Linked DNA regions of Notamacropus eugenii. The protein of the gene in region 1 purifies or fractionates together with the protein of each later gene. This does not show direct contact. Links are inferred from orthologs where the notes say so. Each region holds a gene or a part of one and is shown in the gene's direction. Other genes may lie near its edges.

Region 1 (7,286 bases):
AGAAGGGAACAGAATATGTACTGGCGTTGTTATTGCACATTATGCCTGGCCCCCTAATTCAAAGACAAACTCCACTTGCTGGGCCTGCTCTTTTCTCTATACACATTCTCTCATCAGTTCCTAGGTTTCGACTGTCAGTTCTATGCAGATGACTCCCAGGTCTACACATCCAACCCTCATGGCTCTCCTGAACTCCAGTTTGCCTCACAACCTGTTAGTTATCTCTCCTTGTATGCCCCATACTCAACACATGCAAGACCAGCATCTTTCCCCCTAAACCTCCTCCTCCTCCTTCCTCACTTCTGTTTTTGCTCAGATCACCACCATTCTTCTAAACCTTTAGGGGTGAAAGCTAGGAGTCAAACTTGACTCACCCTTTCTCATCTCTCTGCATCTTATCAGTTGCCAAGTCTTGGCAATTTCATATCCTCAAGAAGTCAAGAAGCCTAAGTGCTCCCTCTGGCATGAAAAATCCTTCGTAATCTGGTGTCAGATGGATCTATGGATCACAGATTTCATCTCCTGCATCCTTGCACTTGGAGAGTTCTTTCTCCTTACTTCTCTGCCTCTTGCCCCTCCAGAAGACTTTCCAGGTTCAACTTTACTGCTCTCTCCTATGGGATGACTTTCCTAGTTCTTACAAACTGTTTGTACTCATCATTGTGTCATTATTTTGCATATATTCTGCCTTTATTTATCAGTTGCCTAGTGGGGAAACCCTAGCCTTTGTGGTCTAGGTCTAGCCCTCTGTAGGGATGGGCTATAAGGCTTTGCTAAGCTTGGCTGGAGGTTTCAAACATGGGAAGTAAAGCTCTGTAGGTTGAGGGCTTTTAGACTAAAGCATGCCCACAAAATTTGAACTCTCAGAGGGCAAGGGCTGTCACTTCTGGTAATCCCAACACCTAGAACCCTGCCAAGTACACACATATTTAGCGATTGAGTCACTGGGGACAGGGAGCAGATCTCATACCATTTTGTTTTCCTAATGCCTTGTGTTAAGACGCAGTAGGTGTCCCATAAATATCTAGTGGTGTTTGGGCAAAAGGGAATTGCTGGTTTCCGTGGGAACCCCTCACTTTTTTCCTGCTCTTTTCTAGATAGTGCAGAAGATTTCTAGGGCTCTCCCCTAGATCTAGGAGACCCTGAGCTAGGTTGGCAGTCCTGGAAGTGACCCAAAGAGATACAGTACAAAGGCTTTTTCGTGCACCCTTTGCTTATCATAGGCATTAGAGCTCCGAGGGAGGTTTAGAGATGATCTAGTCCAACCCTGACATTTCTTATTTAAGGAAACAGGCCCTGGGTGATCTCCCTAAACCTCATGCCGCCTCAAAGCCCTGAGCCTGGCCTTCCAGCCCAGCAAGTTGGTAAACGCTAGTTTAAGCAGGGTCTAGCCTGCCATATGGATGGGCTACCTAAGGCCTTGCTAAGCTTGGTGGCTCACCTCAAGTGTGGGTAGTAAACAGGTAAAGGTGGTTACCTGGCTTAGGGCTTTTAAGCCAAGTTCAACCAGGGCTATTAGCTTCTTCCCCTGCTGTCTCTGCCTCCAGAACTAGGGCAAACATCTTTTTTTCCAGTGCCCTGCCCTGCTGTTAGACATCCAGTTCTTAAGATGCTGGCCATCTCACAGCTGGCTTCCTGAGCTCCGGGTCTCCCGGGAGGAGGGGCAGGAAGGGCCCTGGGGAACAGAACCCCAGCTGAGGTCACTCCGCCCCACCCTTCCCTTTCATTCCCCTCCCCCCACCGGCTAGTAAGTTTCCATTCCTTTTTTACCCCCAGTCTGCTCCCCGATCCCAGCAGGACTTGTAAAGAGGGCACAGTGATGACGGCGGGGAGTCTAAAAAGTTTTAAGTGTACGAAAGGGGCCTACGTTGGCTGTCCAAGGGCTAAATCCTTCAAATTACTCGCTCCACCACCCCGCCTATACACCCTTTCCTCCCAGGCTAGAGGAGAGGATGGAGTTGGGCCGACAGGCAGGCAGACAAGGAAGGGTGTGGGGCGGCAAAAGTCGCTTCTGCCCCTGCCCTGCCTGCGCCTCCCCCCTACACCCCCTTTCCCCCCTTAGCCCCCCTCCTCCTAGTCGTCCAGCTACCAGAATCCGGGGTTGCTAGCAAGAGAGCGAGTTTATTGTCGGGTCCAGCGGGGTGGAGGGAGGGCCAGCGCAGGTCTCGGCCAACGGTGGGACGCCTCGAGGTCTCCGGACTGCGCTCCACCTTCGAGTAGGGGCTCTGCGGGCTTCGGCATCTCCCTCCTGCCCGGCGGAGTGTTGGCACTTTCATTCGCTCCGGGCTTTCTGCGCGGCTGGACCCTCTTTTTTTCTCGCTCTGTCCCTAGCATCTTGGTCATGCCCCTTTTCTATACCCACCCCTCGCCCGCCCCCCCATCCCCCCCCACCGCCGGGTGCCGTGGGGGGGAGGGGCGGTCTCCCGTCTCACACCCGTAGACTGGGGGGGCGGGGGGGGGCGGGAGAGAAAGGAGGAAAGGAATGGAGGGGATGAGGTCAGGAGAGCTTCCCGCTCCTCTCCCCTGGGCGCCGGGCGCCCTCGTGCCTCTCCCCTGCGCGAGATCGAGGGGGAGGGTCAGTGAGCCCGGGGAGAAGGGAGGAGAAGGAGGAGATCGGGGGCCCCACGAGGGTGGGCGCTAGCAAGCCTCGCCGCGCAGCCAGCTGTTGCGGGCCACCTGCCCGGCGGAGGGTCGCGCGGACGGGCTGAACTGCAGCAGCTCGGCGATGAGCGCCTTGCAGCGCTCGGCCAGCTCCAGGCCGTCGGGGTAGAGGACGCCGCGCTTCTGGCGGCGGGGCAGGCCCGCGATGTCCGAGTCGTCGAAGGGCATGCAGCCGGTGACCATGACGTAGAGTACGACGCCCAGGCTCCACACGTCGTACTTCTTGGGGTCGTAGGGAATGCCCAGGAGCACCTCGGGAGACGCGTAGGCGGCCGAGCCGCAGTAGGTGGTGCTGAGGTCCGGGTAGCCGTGCGCCTGGCGTCCGAAGCCGAAGTCGGTGAGCTTGATGCGCCGCTCGTCCGGGCTCAGCAGCACGTTCTCGCATTTGAGGTCGCGGTGCACCAGGTGGTGGTCATGCAGGTAGCGCACGGCGCCCACGATCTGGCCGAAAAGCTCGCGCGCCTGGGCGCACGGGATGTGCCCGCTGCGCTGCACCACCTGCAGCAGGTCGGTGCCGGCGGCCTCCATGACGATGTACAGTTTTCCGTTGCACACTTCGATGAACTCGAAGACGTGCACGATGTGCGGGTGGCGGATGCCGCGCAGGATGGACAGCTCCCGGGGCAGAAACTTGTTGACGAAGTCCGGGGGGGCTCGCCGTCGGTCCACCACCTTGATGGCCACCGTGCCCTTGTACTTCTTGGAGGTGGCCACTTTGACCTTGGAGTAGCTCCCCTCCCCGATGGTGCGGCCCAGCTTGTATCCCAGCTCATTCAAGAGTTTGTCTCCAGACATGATGGACGGGGCGAGAGCGTCGGGAGGGTTTTCCGAATTTCGATTTGGGGCTTAACCCATGGCGCTTGGCACCCACAGACCTTGACCCCCATGTGCCCACTCCTGCCCCGGGGTTCCCCGCCGCCCTTTATCGCCCAGGTAACAATTTCCGCCTTGTGAAGTGACTGAGGGCGTCACGGGCCGCAGGGAGGCTGCCGCATGTGTCCTGGCTCTGCACGCCGGGGCCCGTTTTGTGACGTGATGGAGATGGAGATGCTGCCGTGGTAAGGGATGGCAAGACGCCCAGACCCGTAGCCTGGTTGGACGTGAGGCTGGGTCCTCCGAGGGATGTTGGGGACCGGCATCCCCAGGCAGGGTAACGCTGAGGCGGCACCCCCCCTTGGCGGCCATGGGCCAGGAGGTGCTGGGCCTTCAGAGCTGGCTAGCCCAGCCCCTTGTTTTATTAAGGAGTAAACTATGGGGAGCTCAAACTGGCCGGGGGGGGGTCAAGGTCAGCGGTGGGGCCGGTTTGGGACTGGATCCCTGCTGCGCTAACTCCTAGGGGCACCCCTTAAAACCCTAACGCCGTTAACGGAGCTGCCTCCAGAAGTGCTTTGCAAACTTTAAAAAGCTGCTTCAACGTCAGACGGTACTACCATTACTGGGCGGGTGCGCCAGTGGGTGCCGGAGGGGGCGTTCCTTGGCTCCACCCTCCCCTCTCCGACGTGGAGCGCCCGCCCCTTTAAGACCTTCTCTGCAGTAGCTTCCGCCACTCTCTAGATGGCGGAGCGGGCTCGCGCCCCTTGACGTCATTTCCGGCTTCTTCCGTCCGGCGCGGGTCCTCGCCGTCGGAAGTGCCTTGGGCTGGCAAGATGGCGGCGTCCAAGGTGAAGCAGGACATGCCCCCGCCAGGGGGCTACGGTCCCATCGATTACAAGCGGAACCTGCCCCGTCGGGGAATCTCGGGTCAGTGGTTCGTGGAGGAGGCGGGGCCCCGCTCTTACCCTTAGCGGCTTAGCTGGAGGGCCCCAAGCGTGGGGAGGGGGCAGGGCACCCCCGGCGCCCCGAGGTTGCCCGGACCGGAGCCCCTCGTTCCTCCCCATTCTTCAGAAGCCCCAGAGAGCTTAGAACACGGTGTCAGAGTCAGGAGCGCCCCTAGAACCCAGAGGCCGAGGAGTCCCAGGTTTCCCAGCGCGGGGTGATGGGCTTGGGGCTAGAGACGGAGCTTCTCAGACGGGGACAGCTGGTCAGCGTCTTCTCTTGCCTAGAGTCTTGCCAGCAGAAATGAGAAAGAGATCAGCGACCGTTCTGGGGTCCGAGCCCAGACTTTAAACCTGCAGAGGTCATTTGCTTAAACACCTGGTGAGGCTGAGAGAGTACGCTATATATACTCTTCTCCTGTCTCTCCATTTTATTTTTTATACGTTGTAGGGCACTGCCACTCGTGTAAGACTGTCACTGTAAGGGATTACCTGATCTCTGCAATCCTGCAGTGGATTTCTCCTTTCACTGTATCTACCAGTCGTTTGGAGATAACTGCACGTGTATCTGCCTAGCTAACTAGCTACTACTATTGGAAATATAGCTAGTAGTAGTGCAGTATAGGAAGATGAGTACCAGACATGGGAGGGGGGTGCCTGCAGGCAGGGGACTTGCAATCAGAAAGTGAATCTGAGTGCAGATCTTACTTCAGACACCTGGCTGTGTGAACCCTAAGCAAGCACCTTAACCTCTCGTTCTAATTTCCTCATCTGTGGCTGTGAGAATAAAATGAGACTATGTGGAAAGTGGTTTGAAAACCTTAAAGCGCTGTATAATAGCTATGGTTGTTCATAATGGCAGAAAAGAACAGTAATTCATTAGAAAAAACATTAGATAGACATCTGACCCAAGCACTGGGAAATGGAGATCCTAACCTAAGGAGGTAAATTTGACTTTGCATGCAGAGGACTCCCAGATATCTACCTAGACCTGCTTTCTATTACCAGCTTTATTAGACGGTTCAAGCTGGAAGACCTGTAAGATTCTCCCAATCAGCATGTCTGAAACAAAATTCATTCCTTCCCTAGTTACCCATGGTTTCCACCTTGGAGTCCTCATTTGATTTTTCCTTGCCCCATTATTTGCCGAGTCTTTATTCTCTCCCATATTTCTCTGAGTGTTCTTTTGCTTTGTTGTTGGGTTGTTTCAGTCACGTCCGGCTCTTTGTGACCCCATTTGGCATTTTCTTGGCAAAGAGACTGGGGATGGTTTGCCATCTCCTTCTCTGGCTCATTTTACAGATGAGGAACTGAGATGAACAGTGGCTTGCCCAGAGTCACACAGCTAGTAAGTGTGTGAGTCTTCCTGATTCCTCATCAGTGCTTTGTGTACTCTGGCACCACCTAGCAGCCCTGTTCCTCTTATTTCCAGTCGTAGCCACCATTCTCGTTCATGCCCTCCTCACCTCAATCTTTGGGCCCCTTGTCTTTTCATTGCTTATTCCATACCAACCTCCTGACCTGTATTCCTCTCATCATTTACCTCCATTTCTCTTACATGCTGCTGGTTGAAGCTAGAGGAATCATGCAAGTGCACTGAATGGGGGGACTACATATGTGTTACCTAACCTCAGCTGAGTCCTCACTGTAGTAAGGCAATCCTTTTTATTTCTTACTAATTGATTTCCTCTCACCATCCTCATTGGAGCTATAGCAGATAGCTCAGGCCTCCCAGACCTTCCTCTCCTCCTCTCTAAGATGACAACTTTACTTCTTTACTTAGAAAATTGAGGCCATTTACTTGAGTTTCCTCCTTCCCTTCTCTTCTTAAAGCCCCTTCACATCATCCCCTATTCTCTTTTCCTTTTCTCTAATCTCTGATAATGAGATGGCTCCTTTCCCCAAGTCTTAACCTCTACCTGTGCCCTTGTTCCCATCTTTGCCCTCCAGCTAATTGCCTTCTCATTTGTCAGCCTCCTCTGTTTGGTCTTCACCCTTTTTCTTAGGTCTCCTCCATCTTTAGAAATCCTCCACTAGACTCTACCACACCAGTTAGCTATGATCCTGTATTTCTCTTCCTCTTCTCAGTTAAAGTTCTTAGGCCATCTAAACCAGATACCTCTATTTCCTCTGCTGCTCCTGTCCTTCTTGACTCCAAACATCTCTCTGAAGTGGTCTAATTGCCAAATCTGGTGTTGTGATCTTTAGGCCAATTTGACTGGACCATCAAGTGTGTTTAATGTTTAAGAAGTGTAAGGTAGATTCTGACTGAAAAGTTTTAAATGTTTGATGGAAAAGTTTATGTTCAATCCTAGAGGTAATAGAGAGCCACTGGGGGGATGGGAAGAAGAGGGAGAGGGAGAAAGGGAGAAAGAGACAGAGTGGAGAGAGAAAGAGAGATTGATTTTGTGTGAGAGAGAGTGTGTGTGTGTGTGTGTGTGTGTGTGTGTGTGTGTGTGTGTGTGTATGTGTGTGTGTTGTGTTAGGACAGTTGTCTGTCCTGGTCATATCTGAACTTGAGGAAAATCATTTTGGCAGCTGTGTGGAGGAGGGATTGGAATGCAGAGAGACTTGGGAAGGAGACCACTTAGGAGGTTGTTATTGCAGTAATAAGTGAGAGATGATGGAAGACTTGAACCATCATGGTAGCTATATGAGGAGAGAGAGAGAGAGAGAGAGAGAGAGACGAACTCAGAGAGTTCTTATGGAGAAAGAAATGACAAGGTTTGGCAGATGATTGGCCACATGGGATGAGAGTGGGGGTTCAGGGATGGTGCTGAAGTTGGGGGGTGGGATTGGGCCTACATAGGAATAGTTGAGTTCTAGTGTGCTTAGGCAGAAAGGACTGAGTTCTCTTTGGGGCTCGTTGAT
Region 2 (7,923 bases), on another chromosome or scaffold:
AACACACTGCTCACAGTGTATAGCAAGAGGCAATAAAACCAACATCTGTCAATATTCCACAAGAGATAAAAATCATAGAAGTCCAAAGTTTAATGATGTTCTAGAGTGAACATTCCCTAATGGCATTTACAGCGCCTAGGGAAAGTTCAATTTTAACAGGGAGAGTGGCTGCTCTGGCAACACAAAAACCCTCCACTGGGTATGGGCAACCCTGGGGTAGGAGCTCTTAACCAGGGGTCCATGAATTTCAGGGAAGTCCATAACCTGAAGAGGAAAAAAAATCAGTCTTAATTTCACTAATCTTTGGTTTCCTCTGTAATCCTATGTGCTTTGTTTTATGCATTTAAAAATATATTTCTGAGAGAGGGTCCACGGACTTCACTAGACTGCCAAAGATACTGATGGCACAGAAAAAGTTAAGAATTCTTGCCTATGGGGTCCACATTATGATAGACATTGGGGAGGGCAGTTAGCTAGTATAATCGGTTCAACGTAGCCCCTTGAACTCTGTTGTAATCGCTTAACCCAGTCAAACAATAAGCATTTAATAAAACAGTATAGAATAACTGTGATAAGTGCTGAGGATTCAGAAACAAAAACCACAATGCCCGCTTCTATCAGTCTCTTTATCTGGTAACAACTTCCTGACCATACAAAGCTACCCACAGCTCAAACTGGACGTTTACTTGAGGATACTGGGTGTCCTGATCTGACCATTGGTAATAGCTTTACTTATAATGTGGTGCCAGATGAGAAAGTTTCCTCTTCTTGAGGCTAACCTGCCAGTTTGGGATTCAACCTCCTCTATATACACAAAGGATTATTTGGGATTATGTACATGTGCTTCTTCTCAACAAATAACAACACTTTTCATCACCCCAACTCACTTCCTCTCCTCTTCTCCTCTTTGGATCACAACTTTTACCCTGGGTTGCATAGGAGTTGTTGATTACATCTAATTTAAAGTGACTGAAAGCCCACCTCAATAGGGTGTCCTTTTCCCAAGGGCCTATTTCTCACTTGTTTGGGGCTGGCATATCCAACATTGTGTCAAGAACATAGAAAATTGATAAGTTTCCATCTGATGAGTTCCTCAAAACTCATCAGTAATATCAGAAATATAATATATATACATATATATTTGTTAGGAAGTGACAAAGGATGACTTGTATGAAAGACATCAGTGAAACCACACAGGAAAAGAAAAAAGGAATAAGCCATAATGAGAAATATTTGGACAGCTTTAGTACTGCCCTAGGATCCAAGAAGCATTGAAAGAATCAATGTAATTGTGTAGATCCTCTTTGGAGGATTTAAGGGAGGACATGGCTAAGAATCACGAAGGTAAAGGTAAAGATGGGCTATGATGTTTACAGGTAGAAATGACTACATCTCTGAGATCATATGATCTCAGGTAACCATTTATCAAGCACTTAACTAGACAAAGACTATCTTGAGCGCAAGGGATGCAAAAAACAAAAAATAAAACCGCACCAGTTATTAAAAACAATTATTGTTAGTGGGAACTAATGCCAACAATTTATGAATTTTGGCAGGAAGTCATAGAAATGTGTTTTAATGGCTCATCTCTTTGTCTGAGGATGGGGTCAGCTAGTTAGATGTTCCTGTTGGAGTACCTCTACTTTTAGTTTTAACTTTTATATTCTACCTATATGCAAAAAATGAGAGGAAAGTATAAAATATTTCTGTGATGATTCATTGGAAGCCTCCTGAGATTCCTGCAGATATTGCCTTTCAACTCAATTTCTATACTTCTACCCCTATCCTCCCCCCACCCCCACTTCCAACTGTGACAGAATCAAAATAAAACAAAACAGAAACCACTGGAGAAGAATTGCTACTAGTGTCCTAAACAGAGAAGGTCATGATAGGGGAAATGCATTTATTAAATGCATACTATTTGATGAGGCCACACACTCAAAGGGGACTTAGGTCAACTAAGATTTGTGTTTTATTCACAAGTCTTGATTGGAAGTCAGAATGATAGAAGAAACCTTGGACCAGTCTGCCACCTTCAGGATATTTTCCCAAATAACCCAAACAGAATGATTCTGGACCCCATAGTTAATGAATACTAATGTGGAAAAATGGCAACATAATGGATTATGGAAATTCATATTTTGGTAGCACTTTTGTTGTTATTAGGAATTCACAATTATTTAACAATACAACTAAACATTTTTAATCCAGAGTCCCAAAGGGGTGAGGGAAAGCAAATTAAAGCTATTAGGCAGGAAAAAATACAAAACAAAAATAAACACCACCATTTTCCTCTAGACATAGCTGATTATTCCAGTGGAAAAGTCATCTGCAACTTTTAAAAATATTGCTTGTTTCTTAACATGTCCCTGTTTTTCTCACATTGATTTTTTTTCTACTTCGTAAGCTTACAAATCTCTTAGCAGTTCTTTTATTCAAATAGAAGTATTGTAATGAGACATGAAGTAATTCATCAAAAAAGCATTAAGTGCCTACTGTGTGAATATCATCACTGTGTTAGGTTAGAAAAGTTTTAAAAAATAAAGAGGCTTCTGCCTTCAAGGAACTTAGTCTAGTGGGGAATGAGACACTAATGAGTCATGACACATAGTATTACATAATATGTATATTAGAGAGACAAAACCAAGTGATAGCAAAGTAACATAAATTAGTAAACATTTCCCCAATCTATATCTACATCCTTATCAAATGAGATAATCAAATCATCCTTATCAAATTAGATTTGTAAAAAGCACTTAGCACAGTGCCTGTCACATAACTTTTTATAAGTACCTATTCCTTTCCTTTTTTTCCTTACTTCATTTTCAGTAAGAGAACAGGAAATGCTGAGAGAAGACAGAGACAGAGATACAGAAAGACAGGAAGACAGAGAGAGAGAGAGAGAGAGAGAGAGAGAGAGGAAAGTATAAAAACAATTAAAGAGTTTGGGGTTTAAATCTCTGAACCTGGCACTGCAAATGAGCAAAAACAAAGTAGAAAAAAATAAAACCTGAAGGCCTGGAAAAGAACCTAGGAAGGAAATAGAATTAAGACTAAGAAATTAAGCGAAGAAAGGGTTCAGAATGATAGTCATCCAGATCTATGTCTGGAAAGGGAACTAGGAAAGGAGTGAACTAGAGAAATAAAAGAGTGAAGAAGTAGGGCATCAAATAGAAAGCAATTTTTAAAATTTTATTCTTTAATAAAAAGTTAATTTTCTCAACCCCTATGGGAAATGATGATAACATTTGTATAGCATTTACTATGTGCCAGGCACTGTGCTAAGTGCCTTACAACAATTACCTTATTTGATCTTTACAATAACTCCCCACCAGGTGCTGTTATTATGCCCATTTTACAGATGAGGAAACCAAGGGAAACAGGAATTAAGTGACTTGCCCAAGGTCAGATACCTAGTGTCTGAGGCTGGATTTGGACTCACAAAGATAAATCTACTTGACTCCAGGTCCAGCATTCCATTTCTTGCTCTCACCTGAAAAGAAAAAGAAAAAGCTTTGGTAAAAATTTATATGTGTGTCAGTTTTTTAAGAGGTCAGTTTGGGAATGTGTTTCGCTTGACCATATAAATGTATAAAGTATATACATGTGTATACATAGTTACCCGATGTATAAACCCATGTCCTGATATATATACACACATATGGATACATGTATGTACACATGACTACTGCTTATATTTGCATATGTATAATCCTTGCATATGTATACTGGATAACATGTATATTATATATATACTAGGTATATATGCATAAAGACTATAGATTATATATTATGTATATGTATGCTACATATGCTGTATATGTATATATAGATACTGAATATGCATAATATATGTATATAGTTATGTATTGTCAAGCAAAACAAATTCCCAAATCAATCTCAAAAATGTCTATTAGAATAGAAAACTATGTGTCAATCAGTCAGTCAACAAGCCTTTATTAAATACTATGTCAGATTCTGTCATAGGAGCTGGGATTACAAAGAAAAAGATTTCAAGGGTTCCAGCTTTGGAAGAACTTACAGTGTGCTGGGGGGGAGGGTTGGATTTGGAGGAGTCGGGGACCTTGCCTGGGTTCACACCTCTGCTTTGCCACTCATTCACTACCCTCTGACCTCCAGAAAGTCACCGTCTTTCTATGGGCTTTGGAGGGGCTTGTACTGAAGGACACTTCTTAACACTTTTTAATAGCTGTGTCAAGGAAAGAAGGAAGATATAAAACCTTCTTCTGCACCTCAATCAAGAGTCATTTCTTTCTTTTTCAATTTAATTTATGGAATAAAACAGCCATTTCCATAACATACAGTAAAGATCGTACAGGACACTGCATATCTACTATGCACAGCTTTCAAATATGGAACAAGGTGATCATGTAAGTTCCTTTTGTTCCTCCCCGCCCTAGAGATGGCTACCATTAGACACAAATGGGTATACACATATGTAAAATTATTCTGCACATACTTCTCTTTATCACTTCTTTCTCTGGATGCAGTCTTTCTTCATATGTTCTTTATACTTAATTTGAGTGTTTATAATGGACAAAATAACTTATTCGCTCAAAGTATTCTTAAAACAATATTGCTATATACAATAGTTAACATAAATCATTATTTATGTTACAACAACATAAAAATTAACATAATTGTTAACACAAAACAGTTAACTGTATGCAGCATTCTCTGGGTTCTGATCATTTCTAGGGCATTTCTAAGATGCTCACAACCTCTGGGCGTGGAAAGGAAGGAGATGTCACAGTGGGAAGCAAGGAAGGAAGCAAGCTGCTTCCGAGGCGCCAGGGGGCGCTGTCGGAAGTGCCGCTTTCTCATTTCCGGGTCGCGTAGCCCGGCTTGTTCAAGGCCCGCGCATGCGTACTCCGCAGTGCCCGGCTGGTTAGAAAGGTGACTGCCGGGAGCGCTCCACGTGCTGGCGGGTTCCGAAGCTGGGGCATCATGGTTTGAGAGCGAGATGGGGGCCAGGGTGACCCGCGCTTTCCGGAACTTCAACCTGGAAAACCGGGCCGAGAGGGAGATCAGCAAGGAGAAGCCGTCTGCTGCCCCCATGCACCCCAGAACCAGGACCCTGATCCTGGAGGAAGTCCGCCGTGAGTAGTCCCGGAGGGCAGCCGTCCCAGGGGTGGGGGTGGGGAGACGCCTGTCTGGTCGCGGAGCACAGCTGCAGTGTCGGTGGCGTTGGATTCAGTTCTGTTCAGTCCAGTAGGTGTTCAGCAAGCGCCTACTGTGTGCTCCCCATCGCGCCAAACGCTGCGAATACCCACCTGCCTCCAGGGAGTTTACCATCCCATGGGGGAGGCGGCGTGGAAGTAAATATGTACCAAGAGGCCGTATGCAGGATAAATAGGGAATAATCGAAAGAGGAAAAGCCCCGGGTTTGGGGAAGGCTTCCTGTGGATTGGGGTGGCAGTCGTGGTAGGTCCTAGATTTGGGGCCAGAAGGGCTCTTAGGGAGTGCTGGGCTCCCCACCCCCACGCCTTTTCTTTTTGAGAGGTAGAAACCGAGGCCTGGGGAGGCTGAAGTAACCTGCCCAAGGTCACCCAGGTGGTAAAGCGTCCGAGGGATGGATGTGAACCCCGACCCTGGAGCCGGTGCCCTTAAAACTGCCCCCGCTGACCCGGTAACCGTGCCCTTGTTTTGGTTGGTTTTGTCTTTTTCAAGTTTGGATACCTGTTTGTTCCTTTGTAAACCGGCGTGTTTTTGTGTGCCTTAGAAAGGCGTTCTCAGAAGCGGGCCGTAGGAGGATTAAGAGAAGCCCTTGACACTAAAAGTTAAGTGTAGAAAGGTACCCCCCAGCCCCACCTCCACCCCGGGTCTGGTCAGCGACCTTGAGCTTATTTTATTTCCCGCAGGGGGAAAGGCCGGATTCTTCTGTGAACTGCAGAAATCTTAGAGGAGGGAAGTTTGAAACACCAGATAAAAGTTGCGGCCCAGCTTGCTTAGGAAGGTGTAGCCATAATGACATTGAAACTCCGTCCCTTACCCGCCCCTTTAATGTTACAAATCCTCCGCTGGAAAAATTAGTTGATCTTTGGACCCTGTGCGTTTGTCCAATCGCAGAGATTCGGAGTGGTGCATGCTAGGAAATGTAGTTCCCAGTCCTCTAGCTTGGAGTTTAACAGCGATGCTTTTAATTCCAGTTTTATAGACTAATAGCTAGGTCTAAGGAACTGCAGAGGTCATCTTATGCAGGCCCTTTGTTTTACAGATGGGGAAACTGAGACCCAGAGACTTGATCTCGGATTCCAGGCCAGCACTTTTGTAATTATTTAGGTTTCAGTCAACCAGCAAGCATTATTAAGAGCTCCATGTACTAGGCACTGTGCTTAGTGCTGAGTATACAAAGACAGAAAGTTTCTTTGACACTTAGATTTTTATATCATAAGTATTTAGAACCTTTAAATGATTCAAATGTGGATGATATACAACTATGTGAGAAGCAAATCTTCGCATAAGTTAACCAGTTATGTTATATTCCATTGTGTTCTATATTATCATATATCATTATATGCTAATGATTATATGTTAATGATATGTAATGATCATTATATGATAATATGTAATATTATTTGGTACATTATTTCTATGGAATTTGACACAAGTACTGAACTCCGAGTCTGAAACACTATTTTGAGTTTCAGATTTTCTTAAGAATTTTTGTTTTTCTCATTCAGTGGGGTTTTTGTGTTTGTTTGTTGTGGGAGAGGGTGTTGGTAGAGAGTGTTAATAATGATGGCTGTATGTGTGTTCATCATTCGTTGCCAGAAGAAGATCGTGCCATCAGAGAAATAATGACATGACTTGCACTTGACTTTGTTTGGAGGGAGGGAGGACTGCTCAGGTCACCAGCCTCACTTCTCCTCCAGAGCCATCTGAATGCAGTGACCAGATATTCATCAGGATGACTGGAGATGACCCAGGATGAGGCGACTGGGGTTAAGTGACTTGCCCAAGGTCACACAGCTAGTGAGTGTCAAGTGTCTGAGGTGGGATTTGAACTCAGGTCCTCCTAACTCCTGCACTGGTACTCTATCCACTGCAACACCTAGCTGCCCTTCAATGATGACTGTATAGTGTCTGAGTAGATACATTGCCTGGGTTTGTTTTGGTTTTGTTTGTTTGTAATTGTCTCTCCTTTCTTCCTTTCCCTTTAGGCCATCCAGAATTAGAGGAAATAGTTAAAAGAAAAGATGATAAGCTGCTCACGTTGTTAAAAGAAGTGTATGTTGAGTCCAAAGATCCTGTTCCACATGTGCGGGTAACTGTCATTTTTTATTTATTGGCACTTTATATAACCTTTGAAGGCTCCAGATTGTTATATTTAGTTCCAGTCTCTGCCTGTTCCAAATGCACACCTATGGAAAATGTGGTAACAAGTAACTGCTATAACAAAGGACTTTACATCTGTGTGTATGCCTCTGAGTATAGCAGCAGCTCTTTGTTCCACAGAACCCTCAAGAAAGAGTTCTAGGGAAGAAAAATAGCAGTTCGCTTCATCATGTTCAGAAATTTAAAAAAAATTTATAAAAACATTGGTTAGATATAATTCTCATAATTCAGCTGTTTCAGATTACCTTGTCCTTGTGGGATAATTAGTAGAGACTCCTTGATGGAAGAGAAAGAACAATTTTCTCTTCTGCTTTTCCTATCTTTTAGTTCCTTACTTAGTCCAGCAAAAGGGAAAGGTGATGCTTTTATCCCTGAAGGTTTTTTTTTCCCAGCATTGGAACAGTCAGGTGCTCAAAATTATTTGGAGGGTCACATGTATTGAGAGTGATATGCACATACATAAACGTATACACATGTTCTTGATGTTTGTAAGCATTCATATATGTATGAACCTATGTGGTATACATGTATAACCTTTTTTCTTCTATAGTAATATTCTATTTT
Region 3 (7,659 bases), on another chromosome or scaffold:
TTAAGACTATTAACTGTGTATTTCCTTTCATTCCATTTTCTTCTGCTTCCTTCTCTTTTTCTCTTTCCCTCCTCAAAAGTCAATTTTGCTTCTAACCACTGTCTCCCTTAATCTGTCCTTCCTTTTATCATCTCTCCCCTTCCCCCACTCCTCTCTTATCACTTTCTCCTTCCATTCCCTATTGGGTAAGTTACATTTTTATATACTACTGAGTGGATATATATATGTATGTATAGATGTATATGTATACAAATGTATATATGTATGTGTGTGTGTGTGTGTGTGCATGTGTGTGTATGTATATGTATATGTATATGTTCTTCCCTCTTTTAACCAGTTCTGATGAGAGGTTCAAGCATTGCCTACCTCCCTCTCATTTTCCCTTCCCTTGTAAAAGCTCTTCCTTGAGCTTCTCTTTTTGTGAGAAAATTTTCTCCATTCTACCTCTCCATTCACTCTTCTCCTACTGCATCCCTCTTTTTCACCCACCCCTTCAGTTTTTGTAAGCTCATTCCCATGATCTTCCCAGCTTACGCCCATATGCTCTGTCTATGTAAATTCCTTTTAACCTCCCTAATAATGATAAAAATCTTAGGAGTAGTTCAGGTTTTTGAGGAAGTGGGGGTAGAGATGTCACTGAATTTTCAAGGACTATTGATGGGTGTCATCTCCACAAGGGTTGCTTCCTGGACTACGTCTGGATTGGAAGAAGAGAGAGTGGTTTGGGGAGTGTTGCTATTGGCGGGGATTTTGGGCAAAAGGGTCCTGGATTATACCCACCCAGGTCTGAGGGCAAGTGGTAGTTAAGGCAAAAATTATAATGACAGGAGGAGATACAGTCACCTAAAATGTTTGTTTTGCTAAACATAGGCATTTAGTACATATTTGTTAAATCGAAATGGAGGAATCCATTAAATTGAAGGATGAAGCCATGATGACAAGTGGTAGGAACTGATGAAGCTGAGCTCTTCTCTACATATATATATCAAAATGGATCAGACAAAATCCTGATGGGAAAATCCTGAAAAAGTTTCAGTGAGTCATCTGTCCAGCCCAGCTTTGCATAGAGAGACAGAAAGAGGTTTACAAACACTGATGTGCTGAGCTTAAGTAGGACAGGAACATACTAGTACAGAGCACTCCAATATGCAAGAGAAAGCTATGTACTGGGGAAGGGGAGATGTCAGACTCATACTGAGGCACTGTGATGGGGAAACTTACCCACTAGCAGATTTGTAGCCCACTACTAGTTGAGTTATTGTAATGGCAAATAAAGTAGGATCTTTTGCTGTTTTTTCTTTAGTATAATCAAGTACCTCTGATTGATTAAAGAAGATTTTCCCCACCCATTAATGGACCTGGGAAGATTTGTAGGAAGGCCCACACCTTTTGTAATGAGGCACTGGTTCTCAAGGGTTGTGATACCCTCTGCCTCTGAGAAAGGTATAAGTACTCTGAGGTGAGGTTTTACCTTGGGGCTTACTGATTGGAAGTGTTTTGTTTGGCCAGAGGAGACTCTGGGCAGCTGCTAAGGAGCTCCCCCACTTTGAAAATCCAGATGTTGGTGCTTCTCTCTCTGGTAACTATTTTGTATGGTCAGACAGTCTATTGATCTCTGAAGTATGTATTGCTTATGCCAGGGCAGCTGGAAGCACTGTCTGTTGATCTGTATTTCTCTGTATTTTCTCTGAAATTTAGAGTGCTGACTTTTTCCCCTGAACTAAATGAATGATAAATATGTGCTTGGTTAAAATGATTGTTAACCCCTGAAAATTGCTTTTCTTTTAGAAATGTAGATCTAAGAACCTGTGATAGCAGGCTGTCCTGTGTATGTTGGGGAACTTGCTTTCACAGTCGTAAATCTAGCCTGAATATGGAAGCGGTGTTTGAGTAGTGGGCCAAGAAAGAAGAAAGTTTATTCAGTTCAGAAGTAAGCAGCAGCAACCGAGGTACAGCTTAAACCAGGGATGGGAAACCTGCAGCCTTGAGGCCACATTTGTCCTATAAAACAAAAGAGATTTGTGCTGTGTTCTGTGAAGTTTGGAGTCAAAGGGCTGCACTTAAGGATCTAAAGGGCCACATGTGGCCTCAAGGCTACAGGTTCCCCTCCCCTGGTTTAGCCTCCAGGAACAGGGTAGAGACCCAATTCCAGCATCTAGCCCCGCCTGCAGAAGAATAACCAGGGCAGAAATCCCAGATCAAAAGAGAAACCTACAATTCTGCCACTGTGAACCACCACAATTGTCCAGCTGACTGATAAGGGCTGAATCCAGCAGCAGGCTGCTCTTGCTTGGACCCAAACCCAAGTCAGGAACTTGCAGAGCTCAGATCAGAGCAGCAGCAATCAGACTCTGCCCTGGATGGGAACACCACAGGAGCACTGAAAGCTTTCAGCTCTCCAGCCTGTCCCTGAGATCCTAGAATATGACAACCCTCAATAACCTAAGAAAGCAGGAATAAGAACAGCTTGGACCTTCCCTCCAGGAAGTAGGATGTAAGAATGGACAAACAAAAAACAGAACCACATCATAATGAACTATTATGAGGGCAGAGAAGTGCAAGGCACAAATGCAGAAAAAGAGAATGAATTAAAAACATATACAAGTAAAGTTTCAGAGAAAAACATAGACTGGACAAAAAATCAACTAGAATTCCTGGAAGAGATGAAGAAAGAATTAAAAAATGTTTTTATAGATGAAATCAAAGCACTTGCCTTCCACATCCAGAGAAAGAACTATGGAATTGGATCGCAGAATGAAGCAGACTCTTCTCTCTTGTGTTATGTTTTGTTTTGTTTGAGTTTTTCTCATGGTTTCTCCCATTCATTTTAATTTTTTTATGCAACATGACTAAAGTGAAAATATGTTTAATAAGAATGTATGTGTAGAACCCATATAAGATTGCACGCCATTGTGGGGAAGGAGGGGGAGAAAATCTAAGACTTATAGAAATGATTGTAGAAAGCTGTAAACAAATTTTAAAAATTAGTGACACCTGGAAAATAAACAAATAAATAATATGCATATAAACTCTTTAAAAAATTAGCTTCCTACCTACTTCCTGACAGACCAGGGGATGGACTCTGAGTATAGAATGAGACTTTTTTTGGACATGGTCAATGCAGGAATTTGCTTTTTTTGATTCTACTGCTTGTAACATCTCACTTTTCTTGCTTTCTGAATGTGGATGGAGGTTAGCTGGAAAGGAGAGAATGTGGACCTACAAATAAAACATAATTGGATTAGAAAAATCAATCAAAAAGAAAAAATAGCATCCTCCTTTAAGAAAAGAGTAAATTTGTATCACAGTTAACATAACAAAAACATTCTTTTAAAGGCTAAAAAAAAGTGCTTGAGGAAAAAATTGGAAAAGAAATGACAGCCATGTAAGAAAGAATTGGAAAGAGAATGAACAGCATGGTACAACAGTTTCCAAACTTTACCCAATCAACAAACTCCTTGAAAATTAAAATAGACCAAATAGGAGCTAATAACTTCATGAGGTAACAAAAAATATATTTAAAAAATATAAAAATACTGAAAAAAATAGCAAAAACAACTGACCTGGAAATCGGATTGAGGAGAAAAAAATTAAGAATCTGAACACAATGACCAGAAAAAAACAAGCCTAGATGTCTTATGTCAAGAAAAGAAAACTGTCCAGATCTCTTAAGAATCCAGCAGTCACCTCTTGAAACCTCCCAATGACAACTTCCAGGGATCTCATAGTCAGAATCCAGAGTTTCCAAATCAAAGGAAAAAAAAATACTGTAAGCAGCCAGAATAGAAAGAAGTCAAATACCAGGGAGCTACAGTCAGAATCACACACTAGCAGCCGCAACTAAAAGGAGAGAAAAGAACTTGAAATATAATATTCCAGGAAGCAAAGAATTGGGGCTTATTGCCCCAAAACTGTAAAACTTAATATAATGCTAAAAGGCAAAAAAATGGGAGGATGAGGAGGGTTTTGCCTGATTAGACAATAAAATATTTTTTAAAATGGAAATGGAATTGGTGGGGGAGAGCCCACCAATTGGATTTTTTGACTCAAAAAGATAAAATTGAATAAAATAAAACAAACAAAATTTGTTAAAAGATTGAAATTGAGAGAATCCAGTTTGGAAAAGGAAAGCCAAAGAAAACCTGAAGCACGTGGAGGACCACAGGGGTGGTCTAGGCTTTAACGGTCATGGGAATACTGTCTTTAACGATAATTAGCACTTGAACGTTTGCCAAAGTCTTTACAACGATTACCTCATTGGATCGTCTCAATATGCTCCCGAAGGCTGGTGCTCCTGTCATCCCCATTTTACAGATGAGAACACTGAGGCAGATACAGGTTTGCCCTGACTGGCTCTGCCAGCAGGGGGTCTCCTTCTGAACTTGAACTCAGGTCAGTCTGGCTTCGTGTCCAACGCTGTATCTCCTGCGCCACCTAGCGGTTCTAAAGTCTAGAGGGACGTCCTACGTAATCTTTCTAGCAGGGCATTAAAAAAAACCCCCAGCTCTGACGTGATTGGGCGTCATCCATCTCCAATAGGCGGAACTCTTTATGCTTGGGAGTGCGTGCGGCGGCGGACGCTAATCTGCGTAGGACGCAGGCGCGGGCGGAAGTCACTCTTTGAAGCCGGGAGAGGATCGAGAGGGAAGGTGAGCTGCGCCCGCAAAGCGAAGGAGAGTCATGTGAGGTGTCTTAGGGGGAACGCGATAGGTGTCGGACCACGGACTTCCGGCCTCGGAAGGAGGCTGATTCGCGAGAGTTAGGGGTCAGCCCCGCACCCCAGACTGGGCGGGGGAAGGGGATGTCAGGGCTCCCGGTCCCTTACGAGTAGCTAAGCTGCGGCCTGCCGGTCTCCACTGCCCGGAAGTGGCCTTCATTCTTCGGAGGATCCTAGATTTGTGGCTGGAAGGGACGCAGAAGTCTTCCAGCCCTACGTCCTCGTTTTACGGGTGAGCACGCCGAGGCCCCTGGGGTTGCGTGTTCAAGGTCACAGAGGTGGTAACTAGGGAATGACGGGGGCAGAATTCGAACCCAGGACTTTTATTAATGGAGTTTCAGATCCCCTATTTCCGACTTGATGGGGCAGGGGAGGTCAGAGCTGGTAGTGTTCCTGCTTGCTGGGGTTGCGGAGGGTTGTGTTATCCCAGGATCTCAGGGACAGTGCCCCCGGGGCGCTCCCCTGGTCAGAGCTCTGGGCTCGGGTCCGAGCCGGGGCAGCCCGCTGTCAGCCAGCTGGACGGTTGTGGGGGTTCCCAGGGGCAGAAGTGTAGACCTCCCTTTGGTTTCTGCCCTGGTTATTCTTCTGCAGGCAGGGCCAGACGCCGGGCCACACTGCTGCTGGTGCTGGCTTCTTAGAAAATCCATTTATTTTTAATTTACAGCATTCAGTTCCACGAGCCTCTGAGTTCCAGAATTTCTCCCCCTCCCTTTCTGCCCCCTCTCCAAGAGGGCATGCAGTCTAATGTAGGTTCTACGCAGACATTCATATTAAACATGAATTCGTGTTGCTGAGAAGAGCCGAGTCTGTCCAAGGTGGTCATCACCCAGTGTGGCTGTAACTGGGTGCAGTGTTCTCTGGTTCTGCCCCCCTCGCTCAGCATCAGTTCCTACAGGTTTTCCAGAAGTCCTCCCGCTCATCATTTCTGATAGCATAGTAGTATTCCATTACATTCATATACCACATCTTGTTCAGTCTTTCCCCAATGGATGGGCATTCCCCTCAATTTCCACTGAATTTCTTTCTTGATACCACCCTGGGCCTCCCTCCTGGGAAACAGCGCTACTGTGCACAGATACCCTTCATATTCTGTCCTGGATCGTCGCCCTGGGATTGGACCGTGTGCAGCTAGACTGCCAGCTGGCACCTGTCCCCATCTCTGTGCCCCATTGTGGGTCTGGGACTTCCTTTGGTGCTGGTATATGGCCTCCTGCTAGTGTCGTGCCAACCTCTCTGTCTGCCTGTGCAGACCTGGGCCTGGCAAAGGACTTGCTATGACGTTTTCTGAACTTCTCCATCAGGATTTGGTTCGGTACATTTTATAGATGTGTTTGGAGAGACTAACAGGAACCCACTTGCATTGTTTCCTTCTACCTAACCATCTTGGCTTCACCCCCAATTTTCTTTATGTTTTATGGAACTTAGTAAGATGATTGTAAGATTTCCAGTTAACCTTAGGCTCAGGAAGGTGTGGGTTACTGTGTTGCATTTTACAGAGTCTGGTTACATTTGAAAGACAGGATAAGTTTGTTGCTAATTTGGTAACTTCTGTATTTTTTCTCTTGTTACAGGTAGAGCTGGACTTGTAGCTGAAAATCTTTTCCCTGGTAAATTCTGGAGAATTTTATGATTTGAATTGCTTCTACCATGGCTTTACTTCAGAAGCTGCTAAATGGCATTCATTTTCCTAAATTATGCGGGATGCAAGATACTGCACGATGCTTTTTGTTGGGGCCTGGATTTTCTGATTCTCCCTCCCGACTGTACAGTAGTATTAAAAAAACAGAGGCTGCTTCAGATAGATCTTCCCCTGAGGAAAAGACTGAAGGCATATTGGAAAAACAAACTAAGGGTGAGGTTGGTTTAGACCTAATTTCACCTAAGGAAAAGGTTGAAATTATTTTTGACAAAGCAATTAGGGCTGAGATAAAAGACCATTTTAAACTTTTAGCAAAGGAGGTGGTAGACCGTTGGATAGGACCTGAAGGTCGCCCTTTGCATCAAGTTTTACTGGAAAATACTAGGGTAATGTGGCAGTTTCGCAGTGATGAAGATTTGAATAAGTGGCTGGTGACATCGGACAGGACAATAGGAGGCAGAAGCAAAGCCTTCCTGAAAATGGCCAGCAATAACCAAAGCGCACTCTTCTATGGGATTCTCAATACTGAAATTCCTCATGATGGGGAGACTCAACGAAGTGGATACTGTGCACTGACATCCAGGATTCCAAGGGTAGGTGAGATAGTCAAGCTCTTTGGCTCTCTGAAGTCCCCTTCTCTGCAGTCTCCATGGTAGCACATTGCTTTTATTTATGGTGAGGGAAATACACAGAGTATCCTGAGCAGAGGACTCTAATTTATACTGAGGGACACATTTACACCACTGAAATTAAAGGGAAAAAAGCATTCTTAAAGCTTAAAAGCATTCTTAGAAAGTCCCAAATTACTAGTTGACTAGCCCTTATTTTCTAGCTTGGTCATTTGGGCCAGAGTAGATCATTCCAGTATCAGAAAAGCCCAGTGTATCCAGGGTGGTTTTAGAAAAGGTGGATGAAGATTTGAGTATGTGTTTTGTGGGCCCCTGACTCAGCTTTAAAGTAGGATCCCTCCACCCGCCCACCTCTGGCTCTTCTTAGAGGGAGTCCAGATCTTCAGGATCTTCTGAGGAATTATCAGACTGGGAATTGGTTAGGGCTGTCCTGCACCAGACTCCCACACTTGGTTTGGGTTGCACTTGGATAATTCTTAGCAGATCGGGAGACACACTGGCAGGAACTTACTTGCTTCAGTTTGTGTTGTATCATATCGCTACTCTGAAGTTTGAGCTTGGGGTCATCCTGTACTCTTCCTTCTTATTGACTTTCCTATTTCCAGATAGTTGCCAAGTCTTGTCTGGCTTACCTCTGCAACATCTCTTAGATCCTCTCCTTCTGTTCACTAACT

What was found.
Region 2: the proteins of NDUFA13 (region 1) and NDUFAF4 purify together in Homo sapiens (co-immunoprecipitation; 4 studies listed by BioGRID and IntAct, counting the BioPlex papers as one, with this or other methods). This does not show direct contact. The link is inferred for Notamacropus eugenii from reciprocal best matches to the Homo sapiens genes NDUFA13 and NDUFAF4.
Region 3: the proteins of NDUFA13 (region 1) and NDUFAF1 purify together in Homo sapiens (co-immunoprecipitation; 3 studies listed by BioGRID and IntAct, counting the BioPlex papers as one, with this or other methods). This does not show direct contact. The link is inferred for Notamacropus eugenii from reciprocal best matches to the Homo sapiens genes NDUFA13 and NDUFAF1.

Annotation. Positions count from the first base shown.
Region 1 is NC_092875.1:55,807,987-55,815,272, forward strand, and holds the start of NDUFA13 (NADH dehydrogenase [ubiquinone] 1 alpha subcomplex subunit 13), read left to right. Parts: upstream 1-4,189; 5' UTR 4,190-4,307; coding exon 4,308-4,401; intron 4,402-7,286. Other genes in the region: TSSK6 (testis-specific serine/threonine-protein kinase 6), read right to left, coding at 2,638-3,456. UniProt on the Homo sapiens protein: Accessory subunit of the mitochondrial membrane respiratory chain NADH dehydrogenase (Complex I), that is believed not to be involved in catalysis. Complex I functions in the transfer of electrons from NADH to the respiratory chain.
Region 2 is NC_092873.1:173,177,580-173,185,502, reverse strand, and holds the start of NDUFAF4 (NADH dehydrogenase [ubiquinone] 1 alpha subcomplex assembly factor 4), read left to right. Parts: upstream 1-4,843; 5' UTR 4,844-4,984; coding exon 4,985-5,120; intron 5,121-7,184; coding exon 7,185-7,288; intron 7,289-7,923. UniProt on the Homo sapiens protein: Involved in the assembly of mitochondrial NADH:ubiquinone oxidoreductase complex (complex I). May be involved in cell proliferation and survival of hormone-dependent tumor cells. May be a regulator of breast tumor cell invasion.
Region 3 is NC_092878.1:27,496,283-27,503,941, reverse strand, and holds the start of NDUFAF1 (complex I intermediate-associated protein 30, mitochondrial), read left to right. Parts: upstream 1-4,579; 5' UTR 4,580-4,949; intron 4,950-6,288; 5' UTR 6,289-6,364; coding exon 6,365-6,949; intron 6,950-7,659. UniProt on the Homo sapiens protein: As part of the MCIA complex, involved in the assembly of the mitochondrial complex I.